4 linked regions of the Schizosaccharomyces pombe genome follow. Changing the gene in region 3 together with the main gene of any one other region gives a genetic interaction. Each region holds a gene or a part of one and is shown on either strand. Other genes may lie near its edges. The genes, in order: SPOM_SPAC644.09, gcn20, caa1 and kap114.

Region 1 (4,035 bases), 1.5 Mb from region 3:
TAAGTGATATAGTGTGTCCAAAAAATACAAGTATGGCTTCATTGCAGGGTCTTTTTGTAATGAATAAGAGCTCACCTGCTGATGCTGTTGATATGGCTAAAGAGCTTCCTGATAATCCTCCTAGTACACCTTTCTCCTTTAACGTACACAGAAAGTCTTTGTCTGTATGAAATCCCTTAGATTTATTTAACTTAAAATGTTATTCGTTTCGTAATAAGCTCTACTTATCAATCTTGACCACAAAAAAAAGACATCTTGGTAGAAACATATATTGTACGCGATTAATCTATGAATAATTAATGAATTTAAAAAATGGTTAAAAAATAACTAGTCCGTATTTTCTATTCTAAAAGACAGGCATGCATAAGATAATTATTCAAATGCATGTTCTCAATAAAAAGCTGCAAGCTGTTGAAATTCTTTTTCCATATGTTTAAGAAAGTAAAATCCAATAAAATTCCAATTGTAATCTTAAATTATTTTACGTGATGCATAGCTGAATTCGCAAAGTACTAATCCTACTTACTGCACATCTTACTTCTTTAAAGTTGCATAAAACTTGTGTCCTAAAAGAAAAGTGAGTTGTACGGCATCTCTTTATTACAAAAAATGGTTAAAAATTTGCTCTTGGATATTGAAGGGACTGTGGGTAGCATTTCATTTGTCAAAGACAAATTGGTAAGTGAAGTTTTTTATTGAGAACAATGTAGATCGTGTTTAACCCATGCTAGTTTCCATACGCTGCTTCAAGATACGAAAGTTATGTTAATGAAAATTATGAAAGTGATGAAAACTTGCGAGAACTTGGAAAAACGCCTGAAGAGGCCTTGATAAATTTACGAAAGTTGCATGCTGAAGGAAGCAAAGAACGTTCCTTCAAAATGGTCCAAGGTCGTATTTGGAAAAAAGGTTATGAAAGTAATGAACTAACTTCACACTTGTTCCCCGATGTTGTTCCTGCTATTCAACGTAGTTTGCAATTGGGAATGCGTGTTTACATTTACTCCAGTGGGAGTGTTCCAGCTCAGAAATTGTATTTCGAGCATTCAGATGCTGGAAACCTTCTAAAGTATTTCTCTGGATATTACGATACTACTATAGGGCTTAAAACTGAGTGTGGCAGTTATGTGAAAATTGTGGGAAACTCAAATCCTAGAGAATGGCTCTTCTTGAGTGACAATATCAACGAGTTGAAAGCTGCAAGAAAAGTCGGGTTGCACACCGGTTTGGTGGTTCGTCCTGGCAATGATCCTGTTGTAGACACCAGTGGATTCCCCGTGTACAATAGTTTTGAAATTTTGTTCACGGAATAAAGCAATGGTGAACCCTAACGACCGTTTCGCTTAGAACAAAGTAATGAGTTTCTTTAAAGGACATGAGTTCTTTAAAAGAATTTTGATTCTCTTGTGCTCTCATTTTCTATTTCTTTGTGTTTTTTTTTTCATGATTTCTTTGAATACATCCGAAAATTAGTCAACGCAATTTCTTCTCTTAAAATATATTGAATTATTATAATTTTTTTAACCCAATGGATTTTTGAATTGTTTCAGAAACCTTTTTTAACTATGAAACTTTTTTACCATGATTGAATATTTGTATCAATTATCTAAACATTGAGTAAAACACTCTTGTAAACTCTCCATTCGTTCAATCAACTATTTGAACTGAATTTTTTTTTTTTTTTTGATAAAATAGAAAAAGAGCGTTCTTGTTTAATATTTTCCTCTCCTGTGTACTCATTGTAAAGAAGAGAGGTTTGTCAATCAACATGGGTTACAATTCGTCGGTTTTGTAGCCAAATTAACATTAATCCTTTATTAGTGATTTCTTTTTAAATGTTTCTTAGCCATTAATGTTTATTTATTTACTTGTTTCTGTGACATATAATATCATTACCCCCATTTGGTACCTCTTCCTCCCACTTTGATCAGCAATTACTCTCTGTAAGCTTCTCCAGGTTAATAAAGTCAAGAAGAGACTATAGCTATACCCCCATATAGTACTCTTTATCCCACATTTTGTATCACTCAAAATCAATTTCAACTAAGAGACCTAAGCAGAGTAATTTAACTGTCAGGTGGATTTGACTAAGAAAGTAGTAATAGCTTTCATTCAACATGAGTACTATCCATAGCTGTTTAGATTTAATTAGAAGTCAAATCCAGCAATCTGCAAATGGCCGCAATGTAAGTTTGTATGAGTGATTTTGGTTGTTTTTTCGGGTACTTGGTAAAATTGAATTTCGGATGTCTGATCTCCAGGCGAATAAAGTCATACTGCTCAGCTAATAAGCTTCGTGAAAGATTTATTTAACTCGACGATATAATACTTTATTTTTAGGCTTATAATATTTAAGGAAATGATGCTTCGCCGAGAATAAAATGTTGCAAAGATATCTTCGATTAAAATGGGTTTATCTGAAATAGCGTTGTTTATGTCAGCTGAGGTGAAGGAAAAGATCTAAAAAAATGAATATTTTCACTTTTACATTTTTGGGATTCCCTAAAAATCTTCCAATTTCGCCTGCTGCTTTATCCATCACTAACAATTGCCTTAATGGCTTTTAGGTTCTTCTTGTAGCTGTTAGCAAGTTTCATCCTGTTGAAACCTTGATGGAAGCGTACAATGCTGGTCAAAGGCACTTTGGCGAGAATTACATGCAAGAATTTCTAAAGAAAGTAGAGTTGGTAAGTGCTAGAATGTATTATGTGTTTTCGGTAATCTATTTTTTGATGCCTACCATCTTTAAAAACACTTTTTTAAGTTAGATAATAAGTGGTTCTCATTGTTTATTTCCATTCACAAGGCTAACAGTGCCATAGATGCCCGACGACGTCCAATGGCATTTTATCGGTAGTTTACAGTCATCTAAGTGCAAGAAAATTGCATCTGTAAAAAACTTGTACAGTATTGAAACCATTGATACTGAAAAGAAGGCTCGTTTGGTAAACAGCGCTCGTGAGGCATTACAACTACCCTTAAATGTCTATATTCAAGTAAATACCAGTGGTGAGGAGAACAAGGGAGGAGTTACTCCGTCTAAAGTTCTTGAACTCTGTAAGCAAGTTCAAGACATGAAATATTTGCGACTCAAAGGCCTCATGACTATTGGCTCTATTTCCAATTCTCAATTATCTGATCACAACCCAGATTTCCAGGTAAGATTATTTCCTTTTTCTTCCTTTTTATTCATCTTTGCTCTTCCTAACGCAGTACAGGTTCTTTCAGATCTTCGTGAGTCTTTGCAAAATGAGCTCGGTATCCCTTTACAATTGTCTATGGGAATGAGTTCTGATTATCTCCTTGCTATAAAATATGGAAGCGACTCTGTTCGTGTTGGCAGTTCCATATTTGGTTCTCGTCCGACAGAAAAGCCATCAGATGTTCACATATCTGCATCGAAATGAGTTCGGATGTAGAGTTATAGATAAAAAATGCAATTTTGGCTATCCTTTTTCATTTAAAATATATTATTTTATTTTTTGCTTCTTTAATGATGATGTTACTAGATATTTGAAAATAAATACATTTTTCTAAATTTTTTAAAGTCTCGGTTTGCAATTCTATAAATTTTTAGCAAATTTAGAGATAATATTATAATTAAGGAAAAAATTGTACCAATATATATGACCAATTAATCCTAATACGTTCATTTACAACATGGCTAAGATTCGAGTGCAAGCACTTACTTCACAGCACTACACTTTTCTCTAATATCTTTTCATTTATTTTGGCTATTGGAAATTGTGGACGCAGGCGCAATCGTTCCATTAATAAATCAAACTAATTATTAAAGAATAGACGGGAATGTACGATTGAGAGTGAATACTGGATATTTAATAAATCTCTCAATAACATAAATTATCAAAATTTGAACGATGACTAATAGTGACGACGATCTTTTTAGTGAAAAATCAACATCTTCTGATACTCAGCAAGTACAAAATATCCTCGAACTTGAAGCAAAGATCCCCGACATTTTATCTTCAGCTGGAAAATGCATTGAAGCCATTCAACTAAATAATTCTCTTGAGG
Region 2 (4,827 bases), on a different chromosome or scaffold from region 3:
TACAGCCAAATCCATTGTACAAAGAAATACACTCTTATCAATTAAAACCCCTTTGTCTTCCATTCCTTGGTTATCGTTTACTATATATCGAGGTATAGGTATTTCATTGATGCGAAGCGCTCTTATAAATTCTTGCAATTTTACGCTTTTTGAATTATTTCGGGAAACTAAAGTATTAAGCAAATAGTTTTATTCTAGTTTTACGAAGTCTTTGTTGTCCATTGAGTCGATAACCCGTCGGAATGCATTTCTATACATATTTTAACTTGCATTCGACTTGCGGTTGAAGTTTAATCACATTTTAGAACTGGTTTTGTCGTATATATTTAAAGTCCCATGGAATACTTTTACAATTTTTTTGATGCTATTTATTTTTTATTAAAAGCATTTTTACCTTCAAAAACTCCCCTCTCATCACTTTTCATATCATGTGCTGCTGTTAGTTTGACAGTAATTCCACTGAACTTGTTATACATTTCACGAGTTAACCGTTTCAATCTGAAAGTATATTTTCTTTTCCTCTTTTCCCTGTTTTTTTTTGTTTTGTTTTGCTTTTTACGTCCTGTTTTGGTTAATCCAACTCTTTCAATATCTGTATGTACCTACGCTTTTTTTTCTTGTATAGTTGAATTTTGTTTTGTAGATTTTTGGTAGAGGTGTAAATTGGATGAAATTTTTGAGACTAATAGTCCTTCTATTTCAGCGATTGTTTATTTGGGCATTTAAAACTTTAGCTATTAGATTTAGTATGTTTAATGTACTTTCGGACAATGCTGGCTTTCTTACTCAATACATGCTACCTAAGTGAGTTACCACTACCATCCACATATATTGTGAAGGAAGAACAATGTCTCGAATTTTGGTACGTTATACATTGCTTTTTTTAAGAATTTAGGAGCTAATATATAGAAATCACTAAGTCGTAGTTATTCGACCACCTCCCCTCGTCTTTACGGTATGAAATGACATTTTGATTTTGATGAGATTACTAATGGCAATTTAGTCGATGTAGTACAGGGTTTATATATTTCTTCTTTAAGTATGTTATTATATTCTCTTAATTTACCAATTTCTTACACGTCGTGTCTTAGAATCATATAAGCCTAAAGCTGTCCCTTCCGAAACGGCAGCTGAAGTAAAGGAATGGTCCATGCCTAGCGCTCCTACTGCTCCAAAATACGATGTTGACTTTACTTCTGCTTTAAACTCTTACAAGTATGAGGGAGAAACCATTCCCACTAAGGCTGCTGGAGAAAGCAACAAATTTGACTTTCTTGAATCAGTATGTATCTCTTCCTTTACATTGCATCAGCTAACTTTTCCTTCAGTATGAGAATGAAAAAGAACATTAAATTTATTCACTGCTTTTCCTATGCTCAATTGGAAGATGTTTGGTAATTAACTTTGATTAAATTTTGCCTTTTATTTTCCGATTATGAATTTACATTTTCATCTACGTCGTTGAGATTTGATTTTATATCTATTTCATGCCTTTGTCTGATCCTTCTTTTGATTGACCACGAACGTGGATGTATCTCTATAACTCCCGTCTCACTATGATTTATATTCTAGGTTAACGTATCCTTTTTCTGCTTTCTAAATGTCTTTGAACATAGCTGAATTCAATGCTTAGTCGTCTCTTCGATTACGGCACGAAACAGTTGTTGCCTTGATTGATAGAAAACCACTTTCATTGAGTTGAGATGTTTTTCTCTTTGCAAAGTATTTCTATTGAGTTCACATTTGGATTTTTTTTTTCAATTTATATCAACTCAATACAATTGCTTTTATTCAACAATAAGGATTAGCTTGATAAAATTTGATGTCTACTGTGGGTCATTAAAAATATCAGTAAAGTTCACAGTAGTTTTCTTGGAATTGTAATTTTTTTTCTTAAAAAAATATATAATTCACTATTATAAGGTATTTAGTATATTTTCATGCCTAGTCTCATCGTTTTGCCGATTGAGGCTTCATATATAGCAGTAGTATAACTTGCTTAGTACTATCCACCTCACATCCAACATGGAGCAAGTCATTCAGAATAATTGCTCTGAAGTAGACCCTCATGTCCTCAGCTACTGCACTGGATATGCTAATGATGCTATTAAAGATGTAGATGAGGCTTCAGACCATACGATCTCTCTCATTCGTAATTTATTGCTAGATGCTGGCGCTCGTGAGGAAGCGGTACAGCTCATACAAAACGAACTAGAGAAACAATTTAAAGAAAGAGAGGAACATCTAGATACATTACAAACGAATGGACTTGTTCGTTTGAAGGAGACTATTCGAATGGATTCCCAATCCGAAATTTCGTCAACTATGGGTTTGGTTGGCGAAAAGATGGAATTAGATGCTGTAAAGGGCCGTAAGGTTGAATCTAGGGTAGATAGAAGAAAATTAGAGAAGGCTGAACGGAAGATTCGTGCCAAATGGGAGAAACGTACTATCAAAGCAGAATACGAATCTTCAAAGTTGGTTCAACCCGAACAAAAGTCTTATGAAGAGTTTTACATGGCTGTAAATCCTCTAGATTTATCCGGAAGTAACCAAGGAAAATCGAAAGATATTAAAATTGATGGAATTGATCTTGCTTTTGCTGGTCATCGTATATTGACTGGTGCTTCGTTGACACTTGCACAGGGTAGACGATACGGTTTAACTGGTCGCAACGGTATCGGTAAATCTACTCTTCTACGTGCTCTTTCTCGCCGTGAAATTGCGATTCCTACCCATATTACCATTCTTCATGTTGAGCAAGAAATGACAGGTGATGATACACCTGCCCTACAGTCAGTTTTGGATGCCGATGTTTGGCGCAAGTATTTGATTCAGGACCAGGAAAAGATAACTAATCGTCTATCAACGATTGAAAAAGAATTGGAAGAACTTAGTAAAGACCAAACTGCTGATCAAGCTATTTCCCGTCGCCTTGAGCGTGAACGAGACGAACTTGATTTACGGTTGTTAGATATTCAAAATAAGCTTTCCGAGATGGACTCTGATAGAGCAGAATCACGCGCTGCTACTATTTTAGCTGGTCTTGGATTTACTCAAGAAATGCAAAGCCATGCTACCAAGACTTTTTCAGGTGGTTGGCGTATGCGTTTGTCATTGGCACGTGCTCTGTTTTGTCAACCAGATTTACTACTTTTGGATGAACCTTCGAACATGCTTGACGTTCCCTCAATTGCTTTCTTATCTGAATATTTACAAACTTATAAAAATATCGTTTTAGTCGTTTCACACGATCGTTCTTTCTTGAATGAAGTTGCTACTGATATTATTCATCAACACTCTGAGCGCTTGGATTACTATAAGGGTAATTTTAGTCAATTCTATGCTACTCGTGAAGAACGTTGCAAAAATCAACTTCGTGAATATGAAAAGCAAATGGAATACCGCAAACATTTGCAATCATTCATTGACAAATTTCGTTATAATGCTGCCAAATCATCCGAAGCACAAAGTCGTATTAAGAAGTTGGAAAAACTGCCGATCCTTGAAAAGCCTCAAACTGAGGAAGAAGTTGAGTTTGAATTTCCACCTGTGGAAAAAATATCTCCTCCTATCTTACAAATGTCTGATGTCAATTTTGAGTATGTTCCAGGTCACCCTATTCTCAAACATGTTGATATTGATGTTCAAATGGATTCTCGTATCGGTGTGGTTGGTCCCAACGGTGCTGGTAAATCAACAATGCTTAAGCTTCTTATCGAACAACTTCATCCAACATCTGGTATAGTTAGTCGGCACCCCCGACTTCGTATTGCATACTTTGCACAACATCATGTCGATACTTTGGACTTAAACTTGAATGCCTTAAGCTTTTTAGCTAAGACATTTCCTGGCAAAGGTGAAGAAGAATACCGTCGTCATCTTGGCGCTTTTGGTGTTAGTGGACCTCTTGCATTGCAAAAAATGATCACGCTTTCTGGTGGTCAGAAATCTCGTGTTGCGTTCGCATGCCTAGGTCTACAAAACCCTCACATTCTTATTCTAGATGAACCCACCAACCATCTGGATATGGAGTCCATGGATGCCTTGACAAGAGCTGTTAAACGCTTCCAAGGTGGTGTGATTCTTGTTTCTCACGATGTTGATTTCTTGGACAAGACATGTACCAGTATTTGGCAGTGTGACCATAATGTCGTCTCCAAGTTTGATGGAACAATTTCACAATATAAGAAATTCTGTCTATCTCAACAGCCAACCATGACTATAAAAACTTAATGGAATAGCATAGACTTAAATAATAATAATATAGCTGGCGAGGATAAATAAAATCAAATTCTTTTATCTATGAATCTGGATAAAATATGTAAACGAAGTTAACTACATTTTATACAGTAAAAGACATGAAGTGTTAAATAAGATTAAAACAGTAAATTAATTATAGCTAAGTAAGTCATAACACGGTAATGGACAAGAAACCTGGAAAGCATGCAAATCATCAACCAACACCCAAAAAATAAAGAGAACAAACCCAATCAATTAAAAAGTAAAGAGGAGGAAGGGGAGAAGAGGAGAAAATAAGGCGGACCAAGGAAATCAATAGCAGAAAAAAAAAGAATATACAGACTAGTAAACAAAAAAAGAAAGAGAAAGGAAAAAGTTAACTCATTAAATTCGTTTAGGAACTTGACTAGAAAACCTCGAAGGATTTGGAAAAAAGGACATGGGAAAAGACGTAGGGCGAGAGATTGATGGAGAGGAGGAAGATGAAGGTTGAGTTTTGACGGCGTTGAACGATTTAAAATTCTGAGAGGTGAAAGACTTTGGAGGAAGAGGAATGGACGGATAGGTATTAGAGGTTAAAGGACG
Region 3 (3,781 bases):
GTCGCTTCATTAAGCGATCAAAGACATATGCTGATGTACGTTATAACAGTCAAGCATTGCAAAATCATGGAGTTCCTGGTAACAAACGTAAATGGATGAAGAGGTTCGTATTTGTTGGTGCTGCTGGAATAGGTGTCTACGCTTGGGATCGAGTGTATAATGCCCATGCACTTACCCGTAGTATTAGAACAGTATACACCGCTTCTATAATTGCGGCTGACTATAAGTTGAATTTCAGCGAAAAAAAGGCAGACAAAATTGATGCTTTGCACCAAAGAGTAGCACAGAGACTGTTTAAAACGATTTACAAAAATGGCGGTTTATACATCAAGATGGGTCAAATCATTGCTATGCAATCAAATAATTTGCCTGAAGCGTATGGGAAAGCCTTTCAGGGAATGTTTGACAATGCACCTCAAGTTGAATGGGAAGAACTTCAAGACATATTCAAAGAGCAATATGGAAGACCAGTAGAGGAAGTATTTGCCAGCATTGAGAAACGTGCTGCTGCAAGTGCCAGTATTGCGCAGGTACATCGTGCTGTTTTACCTAGCGGTGAAAAGGTCGCGGTAAAAATTCAAAAACCAGATGTTGCTAAGCAAATGTCGTGGGATCTTCTCGTGTACAAATACATGATGTATGTTTATGATAAATGGATATTTCATATCCCTCTCTACTTTACGGTTGATTATGTCTCGGAAAGATTACGTTCTGAGGTTGATTTTACAACTGAAGCTAACAATTCGGAACATGCTCGTGAAGGGGTAGAAGAAACTGATTATTTAAGAGATAAGATATATATACCAAAGGTTTATAAAGAGATTTCTGGAAAGCGAGTAATGGTTACTGAATGGGCTGATGGCATTCCCCTCTATGATCAAACTGCTCTTTCTGAAGCTGGGATGAGCAAAAAGGAAATTTTAACGAACCTTTTCAGATTCCTTGCCTTCCAAATGTTTCATTCGAAACAAGTTCATTGTGATCCACATCCTGGAAATATCCTTGTTCGAAAAAATCAAGCAGGCTTGTGTCAAACGGTAATTTTGGATCATGGGTTATATGTATTTGAATCAGAAAAGTTTAGAAAAGAATTTGCCTTGCTTTTCACTGCAGCCTATTCATTAGACAAAAAATCTATTCTTCAGGTAATGGATGCTTGGGGGATTGGACAACCTGAGCTTTTTGCTAACCGCATGTTAAATATTCCAATGGATGAAGAGCAACCTCACACTGGTGAAAAAATTATTTCAAAGAAAGAGGCCTTCCAACAGCAGCTTGCTGAACGCAAAAAGTTCATTGGCTTCTTACAGGACTGCACTCGTTTACCGAAAGAGCTGTTAATGCTAGGTCGCTGCTTAATGCTTATTCAAAAAAATAACCAAAATTTTGGGTATCCAGTGAATAGTATAGCTGTTATGGCCAAGGTTGCTGATAAATACACTACCGACAAACCTAGTCCAACTTGGTATCAACGGCTGTTGTCGCCTATTTTTTGGGTCTTTCAACATTTATTTTACCCTGGAAATTTTCGGTTGCCTGAACTTACTAATGATAAAAAATGATATTTATAGTAAAGATTACTTTTCTTTATGGAAAGCCAATCTTTGACCATAATAATATAACTTCACATATTGCCTACTTTTCTCGATAAGACACTTCAGAGCTCCTCCTTGTAAAAGTTAAGCTCCTCCCTATACGAGTCAAACTTTGTATCGTTATTCACTATTACAGTACATCAAGCTCGGTATCTTATATGTCAATGAAGTATACTGATAATATAGTGATACTAAACCGAGTGATAAATATATATATATAGTAGATCAGTAAGGTTGAAATCTACCTACCGCATATTTAACCACAATGTCAGACTACGGGTTTGCAAATATTGAGGAAGCTAAGGCAGATGCAATTTTTAAATTAAATGCTCAATACCATCAGGATGAAGATCCCAAGAAGGTTAACATGAGTGTTGGCGCCTATCGTGACGATACTGGTAAGCCTTGGATTTTGCCTGCAGTTAAAAAAGCATCTAAAATAGTGGAAGAACAGGCAAGCTTCAACCATGAATATTTACCAATTGCTGGATTGCCTCGTTTCACTAAGGCTGCGGCTGAAGTTCTTTTCAGACCCAATCCTCATTTATTGTCCGAGGACCGTGTTGCATCTATGCAGTCAGTCTCTGGTACTGGTGCCAATTTTCTTGCTGCTAGTTTCATTGAGACTTTCTATGTAAAGCACACTGGAGCCCATGTATACATCTCCAACCCTACTTGGCCTGTCCATCGCACTTTGTGGGAAAAATTGGGAGTCACTGTAGATACATATCCTTATTGGGATGCCAAGAATAGATCTTTTGATTACGAAGGCATGCTAAGTACCATTAAATCTGCTCCCGAAGGAAGTATATTTTTACTTCATGCTTGTGCTCACAATCCTACTGGTATTGACCCCACTAGGGAACAATGGCTTTCTATATTCGAGAGTCTGCTTTCTCGCAAGCATCTGGTAGTTTTTGACATTGCTTATCAAGGTTTTGCCAGTGGTGATCTGAATCGTGACTCTTGGGCTCTAAACGAGTTTGTCAAATATAACAAGGACTTTTTCGTTTGTCAGTCATTTGCTAAAAATATGGGTCTTTATGGTGAACGTACTGGTTGCATGCATTACGTTGCAAAGGACGCTTCCACTAAAAACAAGGTCTTATCTCAATTGTGTATTGTTCAACGTAACACCATTTCTAACCCTCCCGCTTACGGTGCACGTATTGCTGCCGAAATTCTTAACAGTCCTCAATTGTTTGCTGAATGGGAACAAGATTTAAAGACTATGTCTTCTAGAATCATTGAGATGAGGAAACGTCTTCGCGATTCTCTTGTTGCACTCAAAACCCCCGGTTCTTGGGATCATATTACACAACAAATTGGAATGTTTTCTTTTACCGGTTTAACGCCTGCACAAGTCCAATTTTGCCAGGAGCGGTACCATCTTTATTTCAGTGCAAATGGTCGTATTTCTATGGCTGGTTTGAACAATTCTAATGTAGAGCATGTTGCACAGGCATTTAACCATGCTGTTCGCGAGTTGCCTTAAACTGATTATTAATACCAAAGTCACATAGATAAGTATTGGATTCATGAATACAGAATTTTGGATTGTTGTAAATTTGACGAATTTAGGAACAAATTCTTTAGCAATTTAGAGAACTAGTATATGCATTTATTCTTTGAATTTTTGAATAATATGAAGTTATCTGTTCAACTCATACACCGGGACTTCTCCTTTGTGAGTTAGACATCAGTATTTGGCTCATTATTTGCAAAACAAGTTGATATCAGTTTGTAATCGGATATGTTTAGACAAAACTGAGAAAGAGTTCTTTTTTAATAATTCATAACTTGCAAATTGATTAATGACAGAGTATTTGAATTCTTTGTTATATCGAGGTTTACTACATTAATATAATACAACTTTTAGCAACTATTAGAGCCAATACAAAGAAAAGAAGTCAAAACTTAAGTAATACAATATGAGTATGATTTTCTTTGTTTTACTTCCCTATTGTGTCAACTATAATTTTAAGCAGGAAATTTTGAAAATATCCTAATAACTCGAAAACCAGGCTAAAGCAAGGAATATCCCTCTTTGCATAAATTTTATTTCTTCTCGTGTCTTTCCTCCAATAATTAATAATTATAACATCTCTAAATGTGTATGAGTTAGTTTGTTAGGACATTTTGACTCAATAATTCTTCTCGATAAATTTAATAAAGAAAGTTGAATT
Region 4 (5,697 bases), 1.1 Mb from region 3:
TGATGAGCTCGTAAGATGTGCTTCATATTGTTGTATTCTAGAAATTTTGTTACAATAACTTCACCGAAAGAAAAACCTGCACCACGGGGCGAAAGTGAAAATTCTTGCACGCTAGGATCCGGATCCGACCACACGAGATCGGCCATAGGTCCCTCGTGTGGGAATTCTCTAAACCTGTCTAAGACAAGGATTTGATCTATGTGCTGAATACTAGGAGAAAGTCCACCATGAACACAAAAAATAGTGTCATCAATTGTTGCAGAAAGTGTTAGGAAATCAAAGATATCGGTAAAATATTTCCAAACATTAGCATTACCGTATTTTCTTAAGCATTCTGAATAAAATCCATAGGTTTGGGTTATTCCTCTGGACTCATGGTTTCCGCGCAAAAGAGTAATCCTCTTTGGATACCGTAACTTGAGACATATCAAAAGGGTTATAGTTTCTATACTATAATAGCCCCGATCAACATAATCACCTTCAAATAGTTAGCAACGAATAATAAAGCATGTGCTGTGTTCTCAATGTTCAGTTTTAATGATTTGTAGTAATCAGCTAATGTGATTCTAATGAACATCATTTTAACTTACCGAGAAAAAGATAGTTTGTGTATGGGCATGGGCCTCCTATACGAAAGATTTCAAGTAGATCATCAAATTGGCTATATACTTTGTAAGCAGAATGTCCACAAAGAATGAACTTTTTGCAATATTGAATCTATGCATACCCATGAATATCACCAACCACGGTAATGGGAGTAGACAACCTGACAACATTGCTTTCTTGCATTAAAACTTCCTTTGCGAGAGAACAAAGATAAGCAATAACGGACTCAGCAATCAATTGTTTTTCATATAATCTCTCTATTATGTTATCGAGGTCAATCATCTTTAGGAATTTCCGTGAAACTAGTGAGATTTATTAAAATACAAAAACAATGTCTTGCACCGTTTTGTATTGGATATATATAATTTAAGAAGACACAAACAGTGCTTGGCTAGGGAAAATTTCACCCAAGGTTTGTATCAGTCTAATCGGCTTTGACCGGATACGCTTCGAAAAACAAAGGATTAAGCACTTCTTATATGGAAAGCTTACGCGTTACTTCTCTTTATTTGCACGCATTAGAAAAATTCCACTAAAATGTTGTATGTGTCAGTTTTATGAAATTTGGAGGTTGGTTTCTGACTTGTCAGTGATCGAAACTACACGATTAATACATAATACTGTGTAGTTCGCCAATGAGATTTTAAGTTAAGAAAGCCTCTAATGGTATACCCAAAGAACAAAAATTACATAATGCTTGAAAAACGTGTTAAAATTCTTTCAGACATTCTATATGAATATCTGTCTCTTCTGCTGAAAAGGTTTAGTGCTTCTCTCGTTTCAGACCATCAGATAAATATTTCGGTTGAAAATAAGCGATAATTGATTAGGTATATTCTTGTATTCAAAGATCAGTCGGTCATTAAAAAACTCAGTTATGCAATACATTAAAATATAAGGAAAATCAAGAATGAAAATAGTAATAGTTACATGGCCTTTCTTTTTAATTTTTTTTTTAAATGAACAACAATACAAGCAATTATTGTTTCAATTAACACTATTTTGTTAGACATTAGCAATTTAAGTGACAATGTCACCTATTTACCATCCACTTCTTTGAACATGAATTTCCTAGTAACATTTCACTCTTAGTAGTACCTGCATTATACCTGCATAAAAAATTATTAAATACAGCCATTTTTAAGGGGTTAACTATACCCGTCTGTACATAAATATATTTATTATTATCTACTTTCTTTAAGCAGATAGCATCAAAACCTACCAATTGTTTAACGTCTATTATCACGCTAAATGGTTGAAAGCAAAATCATTAAGCTGCTTGAACAAGTGCAATCTGCTGATCCTAATTCAAGAATACAAGCCGAATTGGGGTTACGAGACCTTGAGAAATATCACGGTATGCTACTTAAGCTATAAACTAACCGAAAAAATTACTAACTATCTTTTACGAAGATTTTGCTGCGAAGTTAACAGATATCGCATCTTCTGGTGCTTCTGTTCCTTTAAGACAAGGTTCTCTCATTTATTTACAAAGATATATTGTTCACCATTGGTCTCCACTGTTTGAGCAATTTCAAGATGGACCGATACCCGATGAAAATGTCAAAAAACATGTCAGAGAAACACTATTACATCTTTTAGTGAGCCTTGACAATTTCACTTTAATCAAGGCTGTGGCATATGCTGTTTCTCTAATTGCAAACGTGGATTATCCCGATGAATGGCCAGAAGTTGTACCGGCCGTTCTGCATCTTTTACAATCTACTAATGAAAACTCTATTAATGCTTCACTGGATGTTCTGGACGAGCTTGTAGATGAGTCCCTTGTTGAAGAACAGTTCTTTATTATTGCACCTCAACTTGCATCCATTCTCTATCAGTTTATATTTTCCGCTCCCCCTAATGATTCCATGAGGATGTTGCAAGCTAGAGGAATTAAACTGTTTCGTTCTTGCCTAGAACTTATTGAGATTTATAAAGAAACGAAAGCTGAACATGTTCGTGTATTTCTTGAACAAATACTTCCCCCTTGGATGGATATGTTCTCGCACAAGTTTGAAGTTTCCCTCGTTGATGATCGACAAGTTATTTTACCTGATTCCTGTGGTTATTTTTGTATCATGGGAGAAATTGCTATGACTCTTACAAAACTTCGCGAATTGTTTCCTTCTAAATTGACACCGTACGTTGTGACCTTCGTCGAACTTGTTTGGAATATTATAGAAAAGTTACTAGATCCATATATACGAGAAGTTGTTTTTAGCGATGGTTTAGATGATTCAGCATTTGGTGATAAATACCCTATTCGTTATTTAGTTGAACTACTGCTATTCGTTTCTGTAGCTTTGCAAAGCAAGTTTGTTCAAAACTTGTTTGTCAGTAATACGGTCCCCGTACCTCCTTTACCTCCTTGCATTCCACTTCTGGTGCAATATACGCAACTACCTAAGCATCAAATTGAAGTATATGAAAGCGATGTCAGTGAATATATCGCAAACGAATTTTCTATGGATTTTGCTAGTGATACGGTTCGCGGTGCCGCCATCAGCGTACTAAGTGCATTTGAAGAGCATACCACTTTACCAATCCAGCAAAGTCTACGAGAAATGTCCGCGACTTACATATTAAACAATGAAATCAATTGGATATATCAAGAAGCCCTCTTGTATGCATGTTGTTCCGTGGATGCTGCTTCAGATGACACTTATGATGATTACTTGGACCCCATATACGAGGCTATCAAAGTCCGTATTGATTACTCCGATGCTCCAATTTTACTTCTTTCTAGGTTTTTCCTCTTTATCGGATATTTCTCTGAAAGCACCGTAGTAGCCTCTCAATTTTTCCAAATAATAATGAATAATTTGGTTAATGCTTTACAAGTTGATACTGTACAGTATGCTGCTATGAAAGCTATTGAGCGCTTTTGTTCAGTCGGAAAAGTCAAACCGATACTTTCTTTGCAGCCGATGATTTTGGAAGTTCTTTCTCAGTATGCTTCGAAGTCAAGCGATGAAGCTCTTGTATTACTTGTGGAAGCTATTTCTTCTGCGGTAAAACTTGATTGTGCAAAGGCTGCTGAATTAGGTAATTCTGTTATTCCACTTCTATTTAATTTGGTTGCTACGAACGCTTCTGATCCTTACATCTGTGGAATTATTGAAGACACCTTTGAGGACATTATCCATGCGGCAAATAACTATGAAAGTATGTGTGAAATTACTTTGCCAGAACTATTACAGGTCCTGAATCAAGAAGACCCGATTATGGTTAATATTGGGGCTACCTTGCTTTCTTGTTTGATTCGTGCAGGTCCTTCACCACTTCCTAATGGATTTGTTGGATATGTCTTGCCCCCTGTTTATAAGATTACTCAAATTCATTCTGGAGACACAGAACTGCTTCAGTTATCTCAGGAAATTCTTAAGGGGCTTTTGGAAAAGGACACACCACAATTATTGGAAACGGAGATTTCAGGTAGTAGTGGCTTTCAATACATTCTTTTTATTTTGCATCAGTTACTTGACAAAGAGAGTGATGATTCCGCCTGCTTTTTAGTTGGGCCTATCTTACTTGAATTGGCTGATCACGCAAGTCAAATGGTCGATCTTCAGTCCATTCTTCTTTCTTGCATTAAGAGATTGGCAATAGCTGAACAACCACGGTTTATTCAAGTAAGTTCTTATTGAATACCTGTTTCTGACTTTTATTTAGAGTATAATTTACGTTTTTGCCAAATTAATTGTTAAGGACTCTTTGGGAATGATGCACTTCTTGACATCGTCTTTATTAAATGAACAAGGGCTAACGGCTTTTGAAGTACTTATGACCGTTTGGTGTGACAACTTTGTTTATTTTAGCAACTTCAAAAACATTTCTATAATGTATGTCCTTATATTATTTGATGCTTATATAAATTCTAACCTGAAAGTTGTATTGCTATGACTAAAATTTATTCTTTTGACAGTCCTCTACTTGATTCAGTTCAAGTTAAAGGTGAACTTATCTCTCATTCTAATCGCATTATAACCCGGTCGCAGTCTAAACTTCGTATGTTAAAAGCTTTTGATAGTTTTCATTAACCAAAACTAGATCCCGAGGAATATTCATATGTAAGCGTTGGAGAAAAAATATTGCGACTACTTTCAGAGGAATTTGTTTCGTTGTCTAAAGATGCAATTGTTGAAGAAGTTTCCGATGATGGAGCGGATGATTGGGATGACGGTCCTATCAGTGCAGAGACGTTTGGGCTATCAGCTAATGGTACGCGAGACCTTTAAAAGAAAAGGCTAACAATAGATGTTAACGAATTGTCCAAAGATGAATTTTCTGGCGTAGACAATTCAGAAGATGAGGATAATACTGATTTGCAGGTGGGTTAAAGTTTTGGTTTTTAGGGCTAACATTTTTAGTTTTATCTTCTAGAGTTTTTTAAGGAAGCTATGAAAAGCAATCTGCACAATATCAACGAGGTTGTTTTTAGACTACCTCAGGAAGAACAGGATGCGCTCGTTCAAATTAAAGAAAAATAAAGGTGTAAAGGATTTAAAAAATCAAGAATACCTGAACGATTTCCAATAGTTTACTTGCACTATAACATTTACTAATATCATGTGCATTAAAAGGAAAGTAGGGTAAAATTATACCTTTCAGAGTACTTAAGGCTCTAGGTATAAGGTCAAAAGGATTATTTAAGCTGAAAGGGACTAAAGTATATGAAGAATAAAGTTGGTAAATTAATTCTTTCAAAAGATACATTTTTTAAATTAAAATAAACAGACAAACTTAGTTCATTATAAACATAAAAACAAGGTTATATAATACCAATAATTACCATTTTATTGGAGAGAGTATGATGGTAATTATTAACAAAGTGCAGATAAACGAGCATGAAATAAGGTCTTATCTGGAGATTAATATGGCACAAGTAAATGAGCATTTCAATATGAAAATAATTAAGACTGAAAAAGAACAAAATTAGGTAAATCGGCATTAAAATATGCCACCGTATATCTATGCAAAAATTCAAGAAACACCAGGTCAGCAAGCTACCGAAAGGTAAAAGTCACAAAAAGGAACGGGATTATTTCGTAAAATCAAGGGAATCCATAGTCAAAAGAAAACTAAAAA

Evidence for each region.
Region 1: mutations in caa1 (region 3) and SPOM_SPAC644.09 together harm fitness more than expected from each alone (negative genetic interaction), as found in Schizosaccharomyces pombe (one large-scale study listed by BioGRID).
Region 2: mutations in caa1 (region 3) and gcn20 together harm fitness more than expected from each alone (negative genetic interaction), as found in Schizosaccharomyces pombe (one large-scale study listed by BioGRID).
Region 4: mutations in caa1 (region 3) and kap114 together harm fitness more than expected from each alone (negative genetic interaction), as found in Schizosaccharomyces pombe (one large-scale study listed by BioGRID).

Annotation. Positions count from the first base shown.
Region 1 is NC_003424.3:2,687,586-2,691,620, forward strand, and holds SPOM_SPAC644.09 (pyridoxal phosphate homeostasis protein), read left to right. Parts: upstream 1-2,058; 5' UTR 2,059-2,117; coding exon 2,118-2,186; exon of another isoform or gene 2,187-2,466; intron 2,467-2,567; coding exon 2,568-2,687; exon of another isoform or gene 2,688-2,822; coding exon 2,823-3,158; exon of another isoform or gene 3,159-3,218; coding exon 3,219-3,407; 3' UTR 3,408-3,535; downstream 3,536-4,035. Other genes in the region: bcs1 (iron-sulfur protein assembly ATPase), read left to right, coding at 1-170; utr4 (methionine salvage haloacid dehalogenase-like hydrolase), read left to right, coding at 610-678, 732-1,313; mediator complex subunit Med11, read left to right, coding at 3,879-4,035. UniProt on the Schizosaccharomyces pombe protein: Pyridoxal 5'-phosphate (PLP)-binding protein, which may be involved in intracellular homeostatic regulation of pyridoxal 5'-phosphate (PLP), the active form of vitamin B6.
Region 2 is NC_003423.3:2,053,623-2,058,449, reverse strand, and holds gcn20 (AAA family ATPase Gcn20), read left to right. Parts: upstream 1-2,007; 5' UTR 2,008-2,025; coding exon 2,026-4,236; 3' UTR 4,237-4,309; downstream 4,310-4,827. Other genes in the region: ort1 (carboxylic acid transporter), read left to right, coding at 1-187; atp14 (F1-ATPase subunit H), read left to right, coding at 848-862, 910-955, 1,004-1,039, 1,092-1,282, 1,329-1,352.
Region 3 is NC_003424.3:1,230,097-1,233,877, reverse strand, and holds caa1 (aspartate aminotransferase), read left to right. Parts: upstream 1-1,838; 5' UTR 1,839-1,860; coding exon 1,861-3,090; 3' UTR 3,091-3,238; downstream 3,239-3,781. Other genes in the region: SPOM_SPAC10F6.14C (ABC1 kinase family protein), read left to right, coding at 1-1,562. UniProt on the Schizosaccharomyces pombe protein: Plays a key role in amino acid metabolism.
Region 4 is NC_003424.3:2,372,546-2,378,242, reverse strand, and holds kap114 (karyopherin/importin beta family nuclear import signal receptor Kap14), read left to right. Parts: upstream 1-1,690; 5' UTR 1,691-1,857; coding exon 1,858-1,963; intron 1,964-2,019; coding exon 2,020-4,241; intron 4,242-4,281; coding exon 4,282-4,451; intron 4,452-4,472; exon of another isoform or gene 4,473-4,498; coding exon 4,499-4,617; exon of another isoform or gene 4,618-4,659; coding exon 4,660-4,830; exon of another isoform or gene 4,831-4,866; coding exon 4,867-4,940; exon of another isoform or gene 4,941-4,979; coding exon 4,980-5,099; 3' UTR 5,100-5,191; downstream 5,192-5,697. Other genes in the region: ppa3 (protein phosphatase type 2A), read right to left, coding at 1-478, 591-661, 728-888. UniProt on the Schizosaccharomyces pombe protein: Required for nuclear protein import and mediates docking of import substrate to distinct nucleoporins. Serves a receptor for nuclear localization signals. Mediates the nuclear import of TATA-binding protein (TBP) and of histones H2A and H2B.